2 linked regions of the Elephas maximus indicus genome follow. The main gene of each other region encodes a partner of the protein of the gene in region 2 in a complex. Links are inferred from orthologs where the notes say so. Each region holds a gene or a part of one and is shown on either strand. Other genes may lie near its edges.

What was found.
Region 1: ZC3H13 (region 2) and RBM15 share a complex: the UniProt entries of both Homo sapiens proteins name them as parts of the WMM complex. The link is inferred for Elephas maximus indicus from reciprocal best matches to the Homo sapiens genes ZC3H13 and RBM15.

Annotation. Positions count from the first base shown.
Region 1 is NC_064821.1:170,958,069-170,968,106, forward strand, and holds the start of RBM15 (RNA-binding protein 15), read right to left. Parts: upstream 4,483-10,038; 5' UTR 3,464-4,482; coding exon 607-3,463; intron 1-606. UniProt on the Homo sapiens protein: RNA-binding protein that acts as a key regulator of N6-methyladenosine (m6A) methylation of RNAs, thereby regulating different processes, such as hematopoietic cell homeostasis, alternative splicing of mRNAs and X chromosome inactivation mediated by Xist RNA.
Region 2 is NC_064832.1:33,684,091-33,693,974, forward strand, and holds the start of ZC3H13 (zinc finger CCCH domain-containing protein 13), read left to right. Parts: upstream 1-6,289; 5' UTR 6,290-6,365; exon of another isoform or gene 6,366-6,654; intron 6,655-9,884. Other genes in the region: carboxypeptidase B2-like, read left to right, coding at 4,944-5,128. UniProt on the Homo sapiens protein: Associated component of the WMM complex, a complex that mediates N6-methyladenosine (m6A) methylation of RNAs, a modification that plays a role in the efficiency of mRNA splicing and RNA processing.

The DNA.
Region 1 (10,038 bases), on a different chromosome or scaffold from region 2:
ATGGGATACAGAAGAACTCAAAAACTGATGACAAAAATGCACGTTAATGCAAACTCTGTGGGAATAAACCACATATTTTCAGAGAAATACTCAAATGCCTGATTAATCACACTGCTATACAATTTTCCAGCTTATACTTCTGAGATCCCTGATCAAATTTGAGTCGTACAAATAACATTTCTGGTACAGGAATTATCTGCCAATCAAGTCATTTTTAGGTATGTATTATGATCTTTATAGTCCCTAGGCTCTTTCCTCCAAATTCTGACTTATCAAAATTCTGATTTTGTAATTTTGAGAATTTTTTAAGCTCGAGGTTAAAAAAAAAAAAAAAACTGAAGAAAAAAGTGGAAAAAATTTACTCTTAACAGTGGAAACTCTTAATTAAAGCAAGTCCATCTGCCTGCTACCTTCAGGGCATTCCTTCCACTTAATAGCTAAACTGTCCTGACTTCTATCTTAAAGAGGTCTGTAAAAGTATAAAAAAGAAAAAGCTATAACTAAACAACTAAAAAGAAAATCGCATCTGATGCTGTATCCCACTACACATATCACAAAACATGTCAAAGCAGTAAATACAAGTTATACATGGAGTTTAGGACGCACCACGGACAATGATCATGACCAGGTAATCTTCTTCAGATTTGGCCAGTGCCTTGGCAGGGGAATCCAGGAACTGCTGGGAGAACTCACAGGGTGGGAAGGCATGAAGAACCCCGGTGTTCTCCTTGTCTTTATTGCCCCCCACAGGGAGGCTGATCACCCCAGCAGCCTGCTTTTGCTTTAAATAGGACACAAGGTTCCTAAGCGGCCTCTGAGTAGAGGTGGCAGTGTCCGATGTGGCTGAGGAGGACCGGCTGTCAGAACTTCCAGGCACAGCCAGAAGAATGGCATAACCATTGGGCCCTGCCACTTTGATGCGTCGAGTTACTTCATCCAACTTGGGCTGGTCCAAACGGAGACGCTGAGTGATCTTCAGCTGGGCCACTTTGCCTCCAGTTGTGCCCTCCACCAGAAGACTACTAGCCACTTGGAGGTCACCCTGCAACAGATGCATGTTGGAAGGAAAGTTGCTGTTCTTCAGTAGAAGCATGCCCTGCCAGGCCAAGCAGAGTTTGGGAGAGGCTGCTGCTGCAGGGGCTGTACCGCCATCCTGTTTCTGGGAAGGGGACTTCAGCTTCAATGAAGTAGTGCTGGTGCTAGGCACACTCCCATCAGAACGGTCTTCTTTTTTCAGAGGGCTTTTTCCCTCAGTGGGAACAGCTGTCCGGTGCTTTCTATCTCGTTCCGCTGATGCAGAGTTTTTACGGTCTCGCTTGTCACCTTGGTTCTTCTCCAAACTACCTCGTCTGTCTCTGATTGGAGAGGGCTTTTCCAAGAGAAGGCGGGAAGATCGATCATTGTCACTGTTGTAGCGATCCCGGCTACTGCTCAACTCTGGACTTCGGTCAGGAGAAGGAGCGCAGTGACGTTTTCGTGGACGGTCACTCTCAGGGGACCTATCCAGATGGCGTCCCCCACTCTCTTCAGGCAGCCTTCGCTTCCTAGGCTGCTCTCTGCTGCTGGGAAGATCTCTCTCACCTCTGTCTCGATCCAAGGACCAGCCATCCCGCCTCCGATCCAGGCTATCCAGTGGCTCATAAGCAGGTACAGCAGCAGCTGCAGTCCGTGTGCTGCGTTCTCGGACTGGGGGTGGAGGTGGGACCCAATCAGGGTCTGGATAAAGGTCCCTATCACGATCTCTGTATAGTAAGGGTGGTGTCCTATCCCGAGCACCCCTCAAAGGGTCAGGCGCCCGATGTCCAAAAGCATCTGTCACCAATTCATAATGAGTCAGAGGCAGGGGCTGCAGATACTGCTGCTGGTAACGATGCTCTGTGTCTGCAAAGTCTACTCTAAGGCGACGATCTGGGCCACCAAGGGGGAAGCCCCGCATATGAGTCCAAGCAGCATGAGCTGCATCTAGGCTTTCATACTGGATATATGCCCAGCTGTCCCCTTTGCGGTAGTCTATGGTGCGTATGGTGCCAAATCGGTCAAACTCTCGTGCCAGGGCAGCAAGAGGCACCCAAGGTCCCAGGCCACCTACCCAGAGGCGGGTAGTGGGTGTAGCTTTACCATAACCAATTTTGATAGGATTCCGAATTATAATTTTGCCAGACATTGCTAGTTTGGCTCTGTGAGACATGTCCAGATTCTCAAATTTGAGAAAACCATAGGTACTGGTTTGACCACGAGAAGGGCGTTTGATGTCTACTTCTGTGATGACTCCAAAGCGATCAAAAGCCCTTCTTAAGTCACTCTCTGTCACAGTGATGTCTAGGTTGCCCAAGAAAAGCGTCCGGTTAGCTCGCTGATCATCCTCAGGTGAAATCTCATCCACTTCTCTGAAAGGGGCAGCCCCGGTTCCAGCTCCCACCCTTGGCTCAAGACTATATGCTGGGCGCACTCGCTCATAGAACGGATAATCTCGGTCTCTCTCCAACTCTCGGGGCAACGGTGGCGGAGGTGGAGGGGGCAGACGGCCAAGAGCCAACTGCTGCAACCGGTAGTCTCTGTATCCCAAGGCAGCGCCACCAGGAGAAAGTGACCTTTGGCCTCCACCTCCTCCAGGGGGGTGCCGGTGACCACCTACAGAGGACCCGACCACGCTGGCCGATGGAGGATAAGAATCTTTGTCTAAAGGGGAGCGGCTGCGGCGCCGGCTCACATACACAGCCTCTATCTTCAGAGGCCGGTCATAGAGCACAAGGCGGCCTCTGGCATGCTTGGCCGCCCGCGCGTCCTCCGGCCGCCGGAAGTTCACAAAGGCTACCCGCTCATCCCCGCTGCCAGAACCCGAGAGGTGACTGATTTTGACACTCACATCACCGAAGCGTTTGAATTCGTGAAACAGTCCGTCCTCCACCGCTTCGTCACTCAGCTGGGACCCCAACTCGCTTATCTTTAGTGTCTTGTATTCCCCGCCGTCTCCGCCGCCAGGAGCTGAGGAGGCGGCCCCTGAGGAACGTGACTCCCCGCCTCCACCCCGGGAGCTGCTTCGCGACTCGCCCCCGCCCGAGGAATTTTTGGTGCTTGGGGAGCTATAACTATGCAGGCGGCTACTGGAGGTGCCCCCACCAGTGTCATACTCGCGGCTGCCACCTCGACTGCTGGACTTGTCCAGGTGAAGGCTCCGCCGCGACCCACCGCCGCTCTCGGTCTTTCCGCTGCTGCTCCCATTGCTACCACCAGAGCCACCTAACTTCTTGCCGCGCTCCCCACGGGAAGTCGAGTCCTCACCACCACGGGAGCGTTTGGCCTTGACTGGCGAGCGCTCTTTTCCCTTCATTGTTGCGGGTCGTCGGAGGTCTTCTCCGCGGAGCTGATTAACCCGCCGCCCCGCGCTCGTTTCACACAGCGGAACCGCACGCCGCCATCTTGGACTCCGCCGCGGCAAAGGCTCCCGCCCCGCAGTCTTCATTGGTCAATTAGATCCTCTCTTCTACAGTCTCATTGGAAAGACTATTTGTCTGTCTTTACATCTCCCGGCGCTCCGGGAAGGCGCCCGCCCAACCACTGTTATTGGGCTCCCAACGCCCTAGTCAGAGTACCTCATTGGTTGTATTCCTTGTCTATCTTAACGGTTCCTCGCGCCAGGCTGTAGCTCCGCCCCTCGCACCCTACGGTCACCTGACCCAAAGTCTGGCGGCGTTGATTGGACAAAAAGTCTGCCTTGTAACGGTACTTCTTGAGCGGCGAAAGCAGCGATCCCACCTCCTCATCCCTTTCATTGGTTTATGATCCTGTCCTTTAACCCACTAGTTGGGAATACGGCCATCGGTTCGGGCGATTTTTCCTCTGAGAGGTAGGCTCACAACGATCTCGCGAGAGAGCTCCCTGTTTCGACCCTCTTCTTCCAACTCCTTCGGCGGCTGACAGAAGTTTAAATCTGATTGGATGTTGTCGAGGAAGTTGATAGGCTGAAATAACTGTCCGTCACCCTCTTAAAGGGGTAGGCCCATATACTGAGGCGGCTGACTGAAGGTGAAAGCCTAGAACCCGCGCTTGCTGGGAGACGTCACTTAGATATCGCGAGATGGTGACCACGAGCCCGCCCCGCCTCCTCGTGCTTTCGGCGTTCTCCCCTCAAACATCTGTTCGGTGCCGAGGCGTACTTGGCGGCACTGCGGCCCTTGGAACTCGAAACTTCTGGGCTCCCCACTGTCCTACCTGTGCCAGACGAGGGACTGGGCAGGCCCTCCGGCTGTCGGGTACCACGCGTGCCTCAGGAAACCATCTCGAGGCGCCCGGCAGGCACCATCTTAAGTCCCTCTGGCCCTACGTGAAGAGCCTGAAAAGGCTCCTCCCCCCTGTGCGCGAGAAGGCGCCGCCCGCGGTCACTGGGGTCCCCGGGGCCCGCCCGGCCCGGGAGTTTACAGTTCACAAAAGTGCCGGGTCGGCCCCGGACGGTCTTCTGATCGGCGCGGGTTCTCGAGGTCCCGCACTTATGGAGCAACGCCGGGCTCTTCTTGGCGCTCCTCGTGTCTGCCCAAGTACCCCGGGTAACCGGGGGAAGTGACCGACGCTCCCAGGCCCACGGTCCGCAGGCGTGGCCGGAACTGTGGGGCCACCGCAGACGTGTCTTTAGGCTTCCTGTTTTATATTGCAAACCCATGTGGATTTTGTACTCTATAGTGCGTGTATAGCTAATCTTGTTTTTATGACTCTCCCCGTAAAACCATCGAGTGAAATTGACGCTCCGTGCAGATTATGTTTGTTTTTATGTGACTCTCCCCGTAAAATAATCGAGTGAAATTGACGCACCGTGTTTTTTTTTCTGTGACTTCTCGTACCGCCCGGCACTCCTGGTTATTCGATATTATAATCCAGTAGCACAGCCACCTTGCTGGTTCTCTAAATCTCTCTGCCTCTCTCAAACATTGTCTGCATCAAAAGTCAACTTTTATCCTTTCCATAGACCTTTATTGTGTCAGAGGAGCCCTCGCAGCACGATGGTTAAGCGCTGGGCTGATAACCGAAAGGTCGGCGGTTGGAACCCAGCCTCCGCTCCTGGGAGAAAGATAGGGCTATCTGCTTCTGTAAAGCTTACAGCTTTGGGAACTCTCTGTTCTATAGGGTCACTATGAGTCAGCATCCACTCGATGGCAGTGGACTTAAATTGTGTCAGACAATAAGGCACCTGTGCAAGATGCTGGTGTGCCAACAAGATTACAACAGGTACAGCCTCTGTTCCTGCGCTCACCGTCTGGTGAAGCGAGGTAGTGCTGAGTTCACAGAGGTTAGGCTTTCTGTAGTCCTCCCAGGTCTCCGCCAGGCAGAGGTTATGAGGATTCCAGTGTAGATGCCCTCTTCAGCCACATCTCAAGATCCAATCAATCTGTTTAAACATGACATTTTTAAGGTAACTATGATGTTACGAAAATCAAAACCTGAAGCTGAAAATTTAAGATTAGGGACTGCAGCATATTTTGCTCTACCTTAGGTCTCCTCTTTCCAAATAATCTTGAGGAAAGTGAAGATTATATTTTTAATATTATATGTGTGTTATAAATATTTGATTTAATGTCTTGATTATATCAAAGAGACTTGAAGCCCATGTTTAAGTGGATATGTAAAGCATAAAAATACCCAGTAAAATAGTGTGTAGATATCTTCATATTAAAACTAGCTACTAAAAATTTCATAAGGTATAAAACTGTATAGTATGCTACCATTTATGGTTTAAAAACGCACGCACATTGCACATTCATTCATAGAAAATTCCTTGACAAATACACGGAATATTACCAGGATTCCCCTGAGGAGAGAGACTGACTGCAGGTCTGGGATGGGAGAGAAATTTCCCTTTTCATTGTAGACTCTTATCTATTATTTTTCATGCTCTTTCAGTTTAAAAAATAGCAATTCTTTCTAGCTTTCCCTTAAAAAATTATTTTTATGGAAAAAGTAAAAAATATGCAAAGGTAGAATACTATAAAGAACCACATGAACTTAACACCCAATTTCAATAATTGTCAAATCACGTCACACTTGTTTCTTCTGTGCCTTCTTCCCAGCTTCCTCCTCTCCCATTATTTTGTTCCGGGCTTACTCGCTGTATTTCCTGCCCCAGACATAGAATCAGCCATTTCTCCAAAGAGTTCTGGTTCCTTTTTGGGGAAAATGGTATTTAGAGATAAAAATCTCAATGCTAGTGGATTAAAAGAATAAAAAGCAGTGTTTATAAAAGCACAAAATGCTCAAAGAAAAAGATTTACATGGTTAAGAGGTTTTAATCTGTTTCAAGGTTGTATTAATACAACACAAAGGAAACAAGCCATTATCTGATTACTCAATGCAATAACCAGTCCAGTGAAACCAGGCTCCAGAGTGACTACTTTTGGTCAAAACTGACCTGCTTAGTTGACTCACTGGTCAAAGAAAAAGATAAGGACCAAATCAGTATAGTTTCCTCTACAGGAATGAGGGAGAGAAATCAAGGAATACTGCCTTGCTGAACAGGTACCAGGATATGTGGCAATGCCTGTCACTCTGCCAAGTTGGTGGCTTGAAATACGAAGGAGCTGGCAGGGGCAGGAAGCCTTGCCTAAGAGGACTGATACGTTGCCTGAAGCCAAGAGGACTGGTAAATTTAATGGTTAGAAAATGTCTAAATTTCATTACCAGTAACAGCGCCAAAATAGTCTGTGATGTGTGTTCGTGTCCATGATAGAACTGAATATGTTGGATGTGTGCTGTAGTTAAAGTGAGTGATTTACTTTGTTTTCATTTCCCTTGTGTTCCTTAAAGCATGAAGCTGCTTGGTGACATTTTATCAACCTGTGTTTATACATGTGCTTTAGGGAGGGCCGAGAAAGGATAAAAGCGACCCATGGTTTCAGCGCCAGGCTTGGAACTCTTTTTCTGGTGTTGGTGATGGAGTTGTTGAAGTCCAGTCCAAGTTTTCATCTGGTCTCCTTGTGATCAGCGGCCAGGTTTGTGAGGAGAGCTAACCTGGGTGAGGAAGTTCTTTCAGTAGTCATGAAGACAGAGTTAAACTACCAAAAAATTCCCAGAGCACCACAGTAGCATGTTGATCTCTCCTTTCAGTGCCCTGCCAAAACTCAAGAAATAATGTTCAAGAAAAGCTCACAGCCCATTTTGGTGTCAGGGTGGCCCCTTGGAGCTGTACAAGGCCTAGAGAACACAGCCAGGCAGGAGAGCAGCTACCATTAGCTTTCTATGTGAAGTACTTTTTCCATCTCCTTTAAAATCAGTTTCAGCTTTAAAAGGAAAAAGCAAAATAAAAGGCATAAACATGGAAGACTACTGTGCAGTTAAAAAATAGCAGAATGCTTTCAATCAATTATCCTTCTTTCCATTCCCCTCCTTCCTAGTTTTTTTTATTTTTATTTTTTATCTTCAATACACACACAATTATGATTGCTATATGAAATTTATCTTGGAAGCTGAGAGCCCTTTGATTTCCTGGCAAATACAAAAAGGACTGGATCTGGGAATTGAAAAAGAAAATTTTCCACCCACAATAGTAGATTAAATTTTTCTGTTTCATCTCCTTTCATAAAGTGAGTGGTCTCCTGACAGCGAGGTTTATTTTATTTGGTGTACAAGAAAGTATATTTTTTTTACCCACAGGCATATATTAAATCCTTAAATCAGCAAACAATCATTTAGAACCCAGTTTGCATTATCAAGTCACTTCTTTGTGTATTTTTTTTTTTTTATGATTTTTATTGTGCTCTAAGTGAAAGTTCTACTCTGTCCTATAGGGTCACTCGATGGCACTGGGTCTGGGAAGTGAAAGTTTACAAATTAAGTCAGCCTCTCACATAAAAACTTACAGACGGCTTGCTACTTACTCCCAATTACTCTCCCCCTAATAAGGCAGCCAGCTCTCTCCCTCCACTCTTTCTTTTCATGTCCATTTCGCCAACTTCTGACCCCCTCTACCCTCTCATCTCCCCTCCAGGCAGGAGATGCCAACATAGTCTCAAGTGTCCACCTGATTCAAGAAGCTCACTCCTCACCAGCATCCCTTTCCAACCCATTGTCCAGTCCAATCCATGTTTGAAGAGTTGGCTTAGGGAATGGTTCCTGTCCTGGACCAACAGAAGGCCTGGGGGCCATGAGCACCAGGGTCCTTCCAGTCTCAGTTAGACCATTAAGCCTGGATTATGAGAATTTGGGGTCTGCATTCCACTGCTCTCCTGCTCCCTCAAGGGTTCTCTGTTGTGTTTCCTGTCAGAGCAGTCATCGGTTGTAGCCAGGCACCATCTAGCTCTTCTGGTCTCAGGATGATGTAGTCTCTGGTTCATGTGGCCCTTTCTGTCTCTTGGACTCATAATTACCTTGTGTGCTTGGTGTTCTTCATTCTCCTTTGATCCGGGTGGGTTGAGACCAATTGATGCATCTTAGATGGCTGCTTGCTAAGAGATAAGACCCCAGATGCCACTCTCTAAAGTGGGATGCAGAATGTTTTCTTAATAGATTTTACTATGCCAGTTGACTTAGATGTCCCCTGAAATCATGGTCCCCAAACCCCTGCCCCTGCTACACTGGCCTTCGAAGCATTCAGTTTATTCAGGAAACTGCTTTTGGTTTAGTCCAGCTGTGCTGACCTCCCCCTGTATTGTGCATTGTTTTTCACTTCACCTAAAGTAGTTCTTATCTACCAACTAATTAGTGAATACCCTCTCCCACCCTCCCACCCTCCCACCCTCCTCTCGTAACCACAAAAGAATGTTTTCTTCTCAGTTTGAACTATTTCTCAAATACTTACAATAGTGGTCTTATACAATATTTGTCCTTTTGCAACTGACTAATTTCACTTAGCATAATGCCTTCCAGGTTCCTCCACGTTATGAAATGTTTCACAGATTCACCACTGTTCTTTATCGATGTGTAGTAGTCCATTGTGTGAATATACCATAAGTTATTTACCCATTCATCCGTTGATGGGCACCTTGGTTGCTTCCATCTTTTTGCTATTGTAAACAGTGCTGCAGTAAATATGGGTGTGCATATATCTGGTCATGTAAAGGCTCTTATTTAGGGTATATTCCATGGATTGGGATTGCTGGATCGTATGGTAGTTAAGCGCCAAATCAATTTCCAAAGTGGTTGTACCATTTGACATTCCCACCAGCATTGTATAAGTGTTCCAATCTCTCCATACCCTCTCCAACATTTATTATTTTGTGTTTTTTGGATTAATGCCAGCTTTTTGTTGGGGTGAGATGAAATCTCATTGTAATTTTGATCTGCATTTCTCTAATGGCTAATGATCATAAACATTTCCTCATGTATCTGTTAGCTACCTGAATGTCTTCTTTAGTGAAGTGTCTATTCATATCTTTTGCCCATTTTTTAGTTGGGTTATTTGTCTTTTTGTAGTGGAGTTTTTGCAGTATCATGTAGATTTTAGAGATCAGGTGCTGATCAGGAATGCCATAGCTAAAAACTTTTTGCCAGTCTGTAGGTAGTCTTTTTACTCTTTTGGTGAAGTCTTTGGATGAGCATAGCTGTTTGATTTTTAGGAGCTCCCAGTTATCTAGTTTTTCTTCTGCATTCTTAGTAATGTCTTGTATACTGTTTATGCCATGTATTAGGGCTCCTAACATTGTCCCTATTTTTTCTTCCATGATCTTTATCGTTTTAGATTTTATATTTAGGTCTTGGATCCAGTTTGAGCTCATTTCTGTGCATGAAGTGAGGTATGGGTCTTGTTTCATTTTTTTGCAGATGGATATCCAGTTATGCCAGCGCTATTTGTTAAAAAGACTGTTTTTTCCCCATTTAACTGTTTTGGGGCCTTTGTCAAATATCAGCTGCACATATGTGGATGGATTTATGTCTGGATTCTCAATTCTGTTCCATTGGTCTATGTATCTGTTGTTGTACCAGTACCAGGCTGTTTTGACTACTGTGGCGGTATGATAAGTTCTAAAATCAGGTAAAGTAAGGCCTCCCACTTTGTTCTTCTTTTTCAGTAATGCCTTATTTATTGGGGCCCCTTTCGCTTCCATATGAAGTTGG
Region 2 (9,884 bases):
AAAGATTTTGATTCTTTTGTTTGGGGGGTTGTAGAAGCAGTCATGGTCCGCTTCTTTTTGTGGTTCGATATTGACTGCTGTCTCCGTGCCATCACTAAGATATTGTAGTGATTTATTGTATATTTGCTCACTGAGTCTTATCTTGTTTTGTTTTCTTTCAATATACGTGGATGGGCTACTAGATTGTGCTCTCTTTTTTGTTGTAGCCCTTGACTTACTTATGAGCTATTACCACCTGGTTTGGGCTGTTGCCAGATATTTATGCCTGAGTGTATTCACTATTCTTGAGTAGAATCTGATTTTGGGTCATCAAGTGTGTGCTGCACCCTAACACCTATCCACCTCGAGAAGTAGTGGTGTTAGTTGTGTGCACCAGATTCTACTAGCAGCTGGGGTTCACACTCCAGGGGGGGCAGGATGCTGACAGGCTTCGCCCAAGTGTCAGTGAGGTAGCTGTGTCTCTATTCCTAGAGCACCTTGGTGGGAGGGCTCTGCAGCTGTACCTTAAGCCCCCAATGCAAGTACCTCTACAGATTGGTAGGTGTCACCCTCCTTAGACCCCTAAGGCAAGAGGCTAGGTGGTCTGGGGGGAGCTTCCGCCCTCAGTTCCCTGTTGTGTGTCAGTTAGTGCTCTGTTGAATAAGCAGAGATATCAGACCTGGGAAACTTGTTTTTCCATTAAATCCGCTAAAAAAAAATGCCGTCAGATCCCTATCAGAACTGCCTTTGCATTATAATAGCCACCTTGTTGCCTGTAGGGATGAAAACCCGAGATATGGATCTTATATGCTTGGCTGGAGCTGGTTCTGTGTTTTTAGTCCAATTAGGGAAGGATTTTTGGTCCCTGGGTTTTTTGTGGTTGCTTCTCTCAGGCCGGAAGAATGGGTTAGGAAAGACCAAAAAAAAAAAAAAAAAAAAGGAAATAGCAAAGCCGCAGAGCCGGAGCCGTTCTCCCTCTGGCTCAGGAAGTTCCAATGTTAATGAAGCCATCTGGGAAGGGGAGGGGAGGGTCAGAAAAACAGGAGAGAGTAGCACCCCGGAATATAGCCAAAGTTGCTTATCTTGCTTGGGATGACTATTTTATGTGAGATTCCCAAGGGGCGTGTCACCTATGTGTGCTGGCTGTGTGGAGATTGCCCCCGAGGGTCTGGCCTGCTGAAGCCGCGGTCAGATCCTCTACTGCCAGTCCAAAGCCCAGCGTCAAGGTTCCCCTGCTGGGACACTGCACTCCCGGCTCCAAAATCAGTCGCTGGCTCCCGGGGACTTCTCGTCCCGCCAGCCGTGTCGCTGCGCCGCCCCGGCGGACCGGCTGGGCCCCCTCCCGGGGTTAGTTCAGGGGAGTAGGGCTGCACCCCATGTTTGTGCCTTGACCAGATGCTGTGCGCAGCTCCCCTGGTCCCTGTCCAACGTCCGGCGCCAAGGTTCCCTGGCTGGGATGCTGCACTCCCGGCTCCAAAACCAGTCACTGCCTCCCAGGGACTTCTCCTCCCACCAGCCACGTCCCCAAGCCGCACACGTGGACTGGCTGGGCCCCTTCCTGGGGTCAGTTCAGGGGGCTAGGGCTGCGCCCCATGTTTGCGCCGTCATAAGATGTTGTGTTCAGCTCCCCTGCGCCCAGTCCTAAGCCTGGCGCCAAGGTTACCTGACTGGGACGCTGGCTCCAGGCTCCGAAAACGGTCTCTGCTTCCCCGTAGTTGTTCGTTCTCCGTCTCTGTCACTCAGGTCAACTCTTTAAATCTGTGTTTGTTGTTCAGGGTTCATATATTGTCATGTATGTGATCGATTCACTTGTTTTTCAGAGTCTTTGTTGCAAGAGGGATCCGAGATAGCGTCTACCTAGGCAGCCGTCTTGGCCCCCCCACCTAGGTTTGAGCTTTTAAAAGTCACTCCTGAGGTTCACCCTTCAGCCAAAGATTAGACAGGCCCATAAAACAAACAGTAATACCTGTAGTTCCACCTTGTATACAAGACTAAATGGGCACACCTGCCCAGGGGCAAGGATGAAAAGGCAGGAGGGGACAGGAGAGCTAGACAAATGGAAAATCGAGTCATTCTCTTTTGAGACATAAAAGAGAATCAGACAAAGAGGAGAGGGACCTCATTTCATCAAGGAAAAAAAAAAAAGCCAGGAGAAGACCACGTTCTTTGGACCTGGGGTCCCTGGGCTGAGAAACTCCTAGATCCAAGGGAGGATTGATGGCAAAAGACCTTCCTTCAGAGCCAATTGAGAGAGAAAGTTAAGTTAAGGCTGGCAGTCCAAAGCCACCAGCTGTTCCTTTGGAAAACCTATGGTGCAGTTCTACTCTGTCCTATGGGGTCGCTGTGACTCTGAATTGACTCCACAGCAACAGGCTTGGTTTTGTTGGTTTTATACATTTAGCCCATTGCCATCCATTCGATACTGACTCATAGTGACCCTACAGGACAGAATAGAACTGCCCCATAGGGTTTCCAAGGAGTGGCTGGTAGATTCGAACTACAGGCGTTTTGCTAGCAGACAAGCTCTTAAGCACTGCACCAGCAGGTCTCCTTTATATGTATACATATATAAACATAAAAAAAAATACATATAGGAAAATACATATATATGCATTCATATATGTACACACACATATATACGTGTATATACACACCCCCCAAAAAACCCAAACCCACTGCTGTTGAGTTGATTCTGACTCATAGCAATCTTATAGGACAGAGTAGAACTGCCCCACGAGGTTTCCAAGGAGCACCTAGTGGATTCGAAACGCTGACGTTTTGGTTAGCAGCCATAGTGATTAAGACCTATGCCACCAGGGTTTTCTATACACACATATATGTGTATACATATGGATTCATTGTTAAATGTATATGTGTGCATACACACACACACACACGCACACACACACACACAAAATCTATGTTGTTGTTAGGTGCTGTTGAGTTGGTTCCAACTCATAGCAGCCCTATGTACAACAAAACAAAATACTGCCTGGTCCTGCACCATCCTCACAATTGTTGCTGTGCTTGAGCCCATCATTGCAGCCACTGTGTCAATCCATCTTCTTCAGGGTTTTTCACTTTTTCACTGACCTTGTACTTTACCAAGCATGATGTCCTTCTCCAGGGACCGGTTCTTCCCAGTAACATGTCCAAAGTACATGAGACGAAGTCTCACCATCACTTCTAAGGGAGCATCCTGGCTAAGCTTTTTCCAAGACAGATTTGTTCATTGTTCTGGCAGTCCTTGGTATATTTAGTATTCTTTGCCAACACCATAATTCAAAGGGATTAATTCTTTAGTCTTCCTTATTCATCATCCAACTTTCACATGCATATAAGGCAATTGAAAACACAATGGCTTGGGTGAGGTGCACCTTAGTCCTAAAAGTGATATCTTTGCTTTTTAACACTTTTAAAGAGGTCTTTTGCAGTAAAAAAAAAAAAAAAAAATTTATTACTATTATTATTTTTTGCAGTAGATTTGGCCATATGTCCTTTCATTTCTTGATGGCTATTTCCATGGATGTTGGCTGTGGATCCAAGTATAATGAAATCCTTGACGAATTCAGTCTTTTCCCATGTATCATGATGTTGCTTATTGCTCCAGTTGTGAGCATTTTTATTTTCTTCATGTTGAGGTGTAATCCATACTGAAAGCTGTAGTCTTTGATCTTCATCAGTCAGTGCTTCAAGTCCTCTTCACTTTCAGCAAGTAAGGTTGTGTCATCTGCATAATGCAGGTTTCTAGTCTTCCTCCAATCTAAAATATTCAGCTCACTGGTAATGAAAGAAACAGAAACTAAGAGAATTTGATAATATTTTTCACCCATCAAATTGCCAGAAATTCATAATTCTCATGGATGATGTGGGAGGGGAAGTGAGCCTATTCAGACCAGGCTAGTGGGGGTATAAATTTGTTCAATTCTTTTAAGGCTATTTGAAGATATGCATAATAATTATAAAAAGTGTATATCCTTAGACTAGTAATTGTATTTCTAGAGAAGAATATTGTAAAGAAATAAAGAAGAAATTATGTATGAATAAGGGTATTAATTATAAAACTCTTTGTGGTAATTAATAATTGGAAAAAATCCAAATGCCCTCAAATAAATTAATAATTATTTAAATCAATTATATCCAGTTTTATCATGCAATGTTATGCAATCATTAAAAATAATAATACAGATTTGAACTAATTAATATGTAAAGCTGGTCATGATAGGTTATATTTAGAAATGTTACAAGGCAGCATACATGGTGTGATCCATTTATGTATGGAAAAAAATAAACATGTGAATGTCTGCACTAAAAAATTAAAGATAACGTGCTAAAACATTGATGGTGATTATCATTCCTTAGAAGTTGCTGGGTGGCCCAGCCAGTTTGCAATCACCTACTGCCCTGAAGGTTGGGGGTTGGAACCCATGCAACAGGGTCATGGAAGAAAGTCTTGTGCATTTGCTTCCCTAGAGACTATAGCCAAGAATACGCCGTGAACAGTTCTACTCATGGGGTTGCCATGCTTCAGAATTGACTCCACGGCAATGTGTTTTTTTTTTTTTTCCTTTCTCCTTCTTAGTCGCTCCTTGGTAGGGTTATAAGGAGCCTTGTTGGTGCAGTGCTTAAGCATTAGGCTGCTAAGTGAAAGGTAGGCAATTAGAACCCACCAGCTGCTCTTAGGGTGAAAGATGTGGCAGTCAGCTTCCCTAAAGATTTCAGCTTCGGAAACCCCACGGGGCAATTATACTCTGTCCTTTAGGGTCCTTATGGGTTTGGTTTGGTAATATAATGGGTGATTTTTACTTTCTTCCTTAACCTTTTTTCCCCTTCAATCTCCATTTCCTACAAGTAACATAGGTTACTTAATAATCGAACACAAGTAAAGCTTTTTCCAGTTTTAGGAAAACAAATTTTGTTAACTAACTTAAAATATGTTTTTAAAAAGCAATTTCTTCTTGTAGATTTAGCTCCTGGAGGTTCAGATGACTGGATTTATGACTTGGGCACCAAATACTCGTTTACAATTGAACTTCGAGATAAAGGCGAATTTGGATTCTTGCTGCCTGAACGTCTCATCAAGCCAACTTGTAAAGAGGCTCTCGCGGCTGTCTCTAAAATAGTCTGGCATGTCATCAGGAATGTTTAATGCCCTTGATTTTATCACTCTGCTCCCATATTTTAATTTATTGATTCCAGCAAGACCAAATAATTGTCCCAGCTTCTTTTTAAGTTTTATCAACAGTTTTGTAACGAGATTTTCCCATTTCTTGGCTTTGTCAAAGAATAAAATAAATGCCACCTTGCAAATAAGACAAGAGTTCACATTTCTTTTCACTTTTTTTTTTTTTTTTTAAATTGTAAGGGGCTAGGTGTTGTTGTTGTTGTTAGGTGCCATTGAGTCGCTTCCAACTCACAGCTATCCTGTGCACAACAGAACGAAGCACTGCCCTGTCCTAAGCCATCCTTACAATCATTGTTATGCTTGAGCTCATTGTTGCAGCCACTGTGTCAATCAACCTTGTTGAGGGTCTTCCTCTTTTCCTCTGACCCTGTACTTTGCCAAGCATGATGGCCTTCTACAGGGACTGATCCCTCCTGACAACACGTCCAAAGTGTGTAAGACGCAGTCTCGCTATCTTTGCCTCTAAGGAGCATTCTGGCTGCACTTCTTCCAAGACAGATTTGGTATATTCAATATTCTTCGCCCACACCACAATTCAAAGGTACTGATTTTAATTTTTTTTTTTTTACTTTGATTCAGGATGTTTCACTAACCAAACAATTTTAATAAATTGTATCATACAAATCATTGGTTAAAGCTTTGAGACCCTAAGCAACAAAAGGAAAGACCGTCGGGAGTATATGAAAGATTTTTGTTTCACATTTTCAGTAAACTTGTTTGCGCCTTTAAAAACATAACCCTGCATTCCGTTTGCTCCACAATAATAGGCGATGGGCTACAAAGGAGACGGGTTCAAAAATAGGACATTCGCCAGGTCTGGTCCAGCTCAGAGTCTCAATAAGCATTCTTGAACAAATGAATGGCTGTAGTTACTTTCAATACACGTAGCATTTTGCACACCTAAAATAGTTGTTTATTGTAAGAAATTATGTAATGAACGGGGAAATTCTCTTAAGTTCACTTTTAATTGGGAATCAAAAAAGTCCCCCGCGAGTCCAAGTTTCCTTCCACAAAGAACATATTCAGGAGTTGATCTCTCGCTAATACTCTCGCTCCTCAGCGTCGACGCAACGTACGAGGAAAGGGGCGGGGTCTGCGCTCTGACGACTAACCTGGCGGCCGGAAGCTGGCTCGTTTACAGAGGAACAGGACGGTCTCCTGACTTCCGGCGGCTTTTTGAGTCGATCGCCCTAGCGGCCTGGTAGTTTTTTTTTGGAGTTTTTTTTACTGTCCATTTTCTCTTCCTTCTTTTTCTTCCCACGCCCCGTTCTCGCCGGACCCTGGCGAAGCGGCAGGCGGGTTCTGTTTCTCAGTCTCCCCGGGGCCCCGTGAGCCTCCGAGGAGCGGTTTCCGGGAGCCGCGCGCGCACCTCCTCCTTGTGGTCCTCCCGGGGCCAAGGCGCGGGGCGGAAGGTCTCCTTCCCCGCTCCTGCGAGCAGCGGCAGTGTGGGTGCCTCGGGTCTGCGTTTGCGAGGAGAGCTGGGGGTGGAGGTAAGGGTTCTGTGACTTCGTGTGGGTATTTGAGGAAAGGCGTTGGGCGAGCTGGGGAGGCCCGGAGTCGCCCACCATGCCCACTTGGGTCACACTGGTATTTCGTGCTCCCCTTGAGCATCCTGCCCCTGAATCTTCAGTCACTCCCTGTGCTCAGGCCTCGTTTGTCTCCCTCGCTCTGATTGTGGCGAGTCTGTCTAGGGGACAGGTCGACTCAGGCAAAAGACTGTGACTGACATTTGAGGTGGGCACGGGAACCCTTGAGCAGAATTCGCGTTTGTATGCAATGGAGGGGTGCCGGAATAAGGTCTTAGATTTCGGAGTTTTTTCTTTGGGCATTCCAGACCTGTAATCGGTAAAGGGATCTTTTGGTTATTTTTGGTGTTCTGTATTTACTGGCAGTGATAAACCGAGTTAGGGCCTGGGAGTTGAGGAGTGCTAGTCTTGGCAGTTATATGCGGGGGAAACAAATTGAAAGAGAGGTAGAATGAAAGGACGGGACCTTATGTTTAGCATTACCTCTTTCTAAATACAAACGCAAACAAACCTGTTACCTTTGAGTCGATTCCGACTCATAGGGACCCTGTATGACAGAGTAGAACTCCCCCATAGGGTTTCCAGGGAGGGGCTGGTGGATTGGAACTGCCGACCTTTCGCTTAGCAGCCGAACGCTTAACCACTGCGCCACCAGTGCCCCGCTCTTTTTAAATAGGTTAATATAATTTAAATGGCTGACAAATTCGGAGTTGCTATTACTTGAATGATGTTGGTAGGATTTTGCGTGTGGAAGGTAGTGTGTTAATCTATTCGGTTATATTAGAAGGTTTCCAGGTAATTTGAACTACTTTGAAAATTATGGGCTAGAGTCTCTTAAGGTTTTTGCATTTGTAAAGAGGGAATTTAGAAAGTTTGGAAGAGGTCTTCACGCCTCGCGTTTTCAGAGTTCGTGATACTGTTGCGGCAAATCCCGATGCTTATGCAGCGCCATCCCTGTGTGCATGGTGCCAGTTAGCATGGTCCAGTTTCTGGGTGTTTTTAGTTCTGTAATACTTGATGTCATGGGCTTTACTGTCCAAACAATAATGTTTTGGAGAGCTATTGATTTTGAAGTTATTAATGAAATACTTAGATTATAATAGATGACAGTTTCAGAGAGATAGTAAGAAGATTGATGGAGGTATATGTCAGTTTGTGTGTGTAAAAATAGTTGCATCATGAAACTAAAAATTTCACTGTGTCCGTCTGGTAGGATACAGTTTTATGAAGTCTATGCCTCTGACAGGGTCGCTGTGAGTCCGAATCGACTCCATGACAAGTGGTTTGGTTTTACTGAAGTCCTAGTTATTGGTAATTCTAATTGCACATTGTACATTTTAGGATGTGTGCACATCTTATTTTCATATCTGTAGTACAGATTAAAAATATTAAGAGACAGCAAGTGGATGCTATGTTAACTTTTTTATACCAAATTATTAAAATTTTAATGAATCATCTGTATTAGTTTATATTATAATATGCATTGGTGTTTACATAGGGAAAGCAAAATTGTTTAACTTCCATTTGGAGAATTGGTTTTCAGTGGACGTTAGTCTTTCCCGTATTCCCCACTCGCAACCCACAGCTCATACAGAGTTGGAGGCATTTTAGCAGGTACTTTGTAGTGGCTGAGGTATTAACTGGTGTTCATGTAACCCTGTCTTCTCTTCTCCTCTTGTAGCTCTGTGTGTTGCGGTTCTGTTTACGTCACTTCATAGTGGTTCCCAGGATGGGGTGTTCTTTGTGCACACACAATCTTTTTAACAAGTTATTTTCTGCACAGTGCTGCAGTATTGCCTTGCTCATACCTGTGTAGTCAGCTTAGTTGTGCCAGTTCTGTTGCACGATCAGTTAAGAATAGATTTACTCTGTCTACAGGTAAGCAACCTGGAAGGGTGTTTGAGAAAGTTCTTTTTAATAAATTCTTCAAAAGTATGCATCAAATAAACAGCTATTTTTTCTTTTAAAACATGAAGTATGAATGTGGGGAAAGTTTTATTTTTTAATATAACCCTTTAAATCTTAGAAATTCAATGGGTAGGGATTTATTCTACTAATTAATACATTTATATAGTTTTAGTTATGTAATTATTTGACAGTTTCCTGGTATTACGCTGCTGCTGTATAAGTAATAGAAGATCATCCAGATTAAAAAGAGTTATGCTTTCATTTACACTACAGAAGATGAGACCTCAGAAGGATCCAGTGAAGATACTAGAACTGATACATATTTTACTGACAAGATTTTAGCCATTAGGCTTCAGGTTTAATTAATTATTCAGAGAAGAGGACCCTGTATTTTTCAACTTTTTCAGCCATATTTATAGTGTGCAGCTTTGAATAGATTGTGATAATGTAATTTCCCATTTATTAAGACTCCCTTTTCCTGTGCCTTCAGGAGATTCAAGCTTTATTTCCAGTTATTCTTTTTCTTTTTAAATTTAAAAGTGATAAGGAAAATTTCAGATATTTATATATCTGCAAGGAAAAATAGAAAAATGACTAAATGGACTTTCACCAGTCTTATTCTGGCTCTTACAGTGCTGCTGTTTGGGAAAGAAATGATGATGTGATAGTGTAAGGGTAACTTAAACAAAAGAACAACGGGCAGAGCAATTTATTTGAAAACAAAAATGGAGAACAACATTAAAGAAGAGTTAACTAAATTAGTAAATTTTTGTTGTAACCTTAATTTATAATCTGTGTGATAGGGAAGACTTCAGCATTAATTTTTTTTACTTTGTTGTATTGTTTTTAACTTTTCCCATATACTTTGAAATATTTACTTATCAAAGGCTGTTCAGATATTAACTAAAAATTTTTTTTCCTCAGTCCCATTTACTTTTTATTCTTTTGTGATAGTTATCTTCCTTTGTGAACCTAAATTTTTTTTCATAACTTTTATTGCGCTTTAAGTGAAAGTTTACAAACCAAGTCAGTCTCTCACACAAAAACTTATATACACCTTGCTACATACTCCCAATTACTCTCCACTCTCCCCCTAATGGGACATCCCGCTCTCTCCATCCACTCTTTCTTTTCGTGTCCGTTTTGCCAGCTTCTAACCCCCTCTACCCTTTTATCTCCCCTCCAGGCAGGAGTTGCTAACACAGTCTCAAGCATCCACCTGATCCAAGAAGCTCACTCCTCATTAGCATCCCTCTCCAACCCACTGTCCAGTCCAATCCATGTCG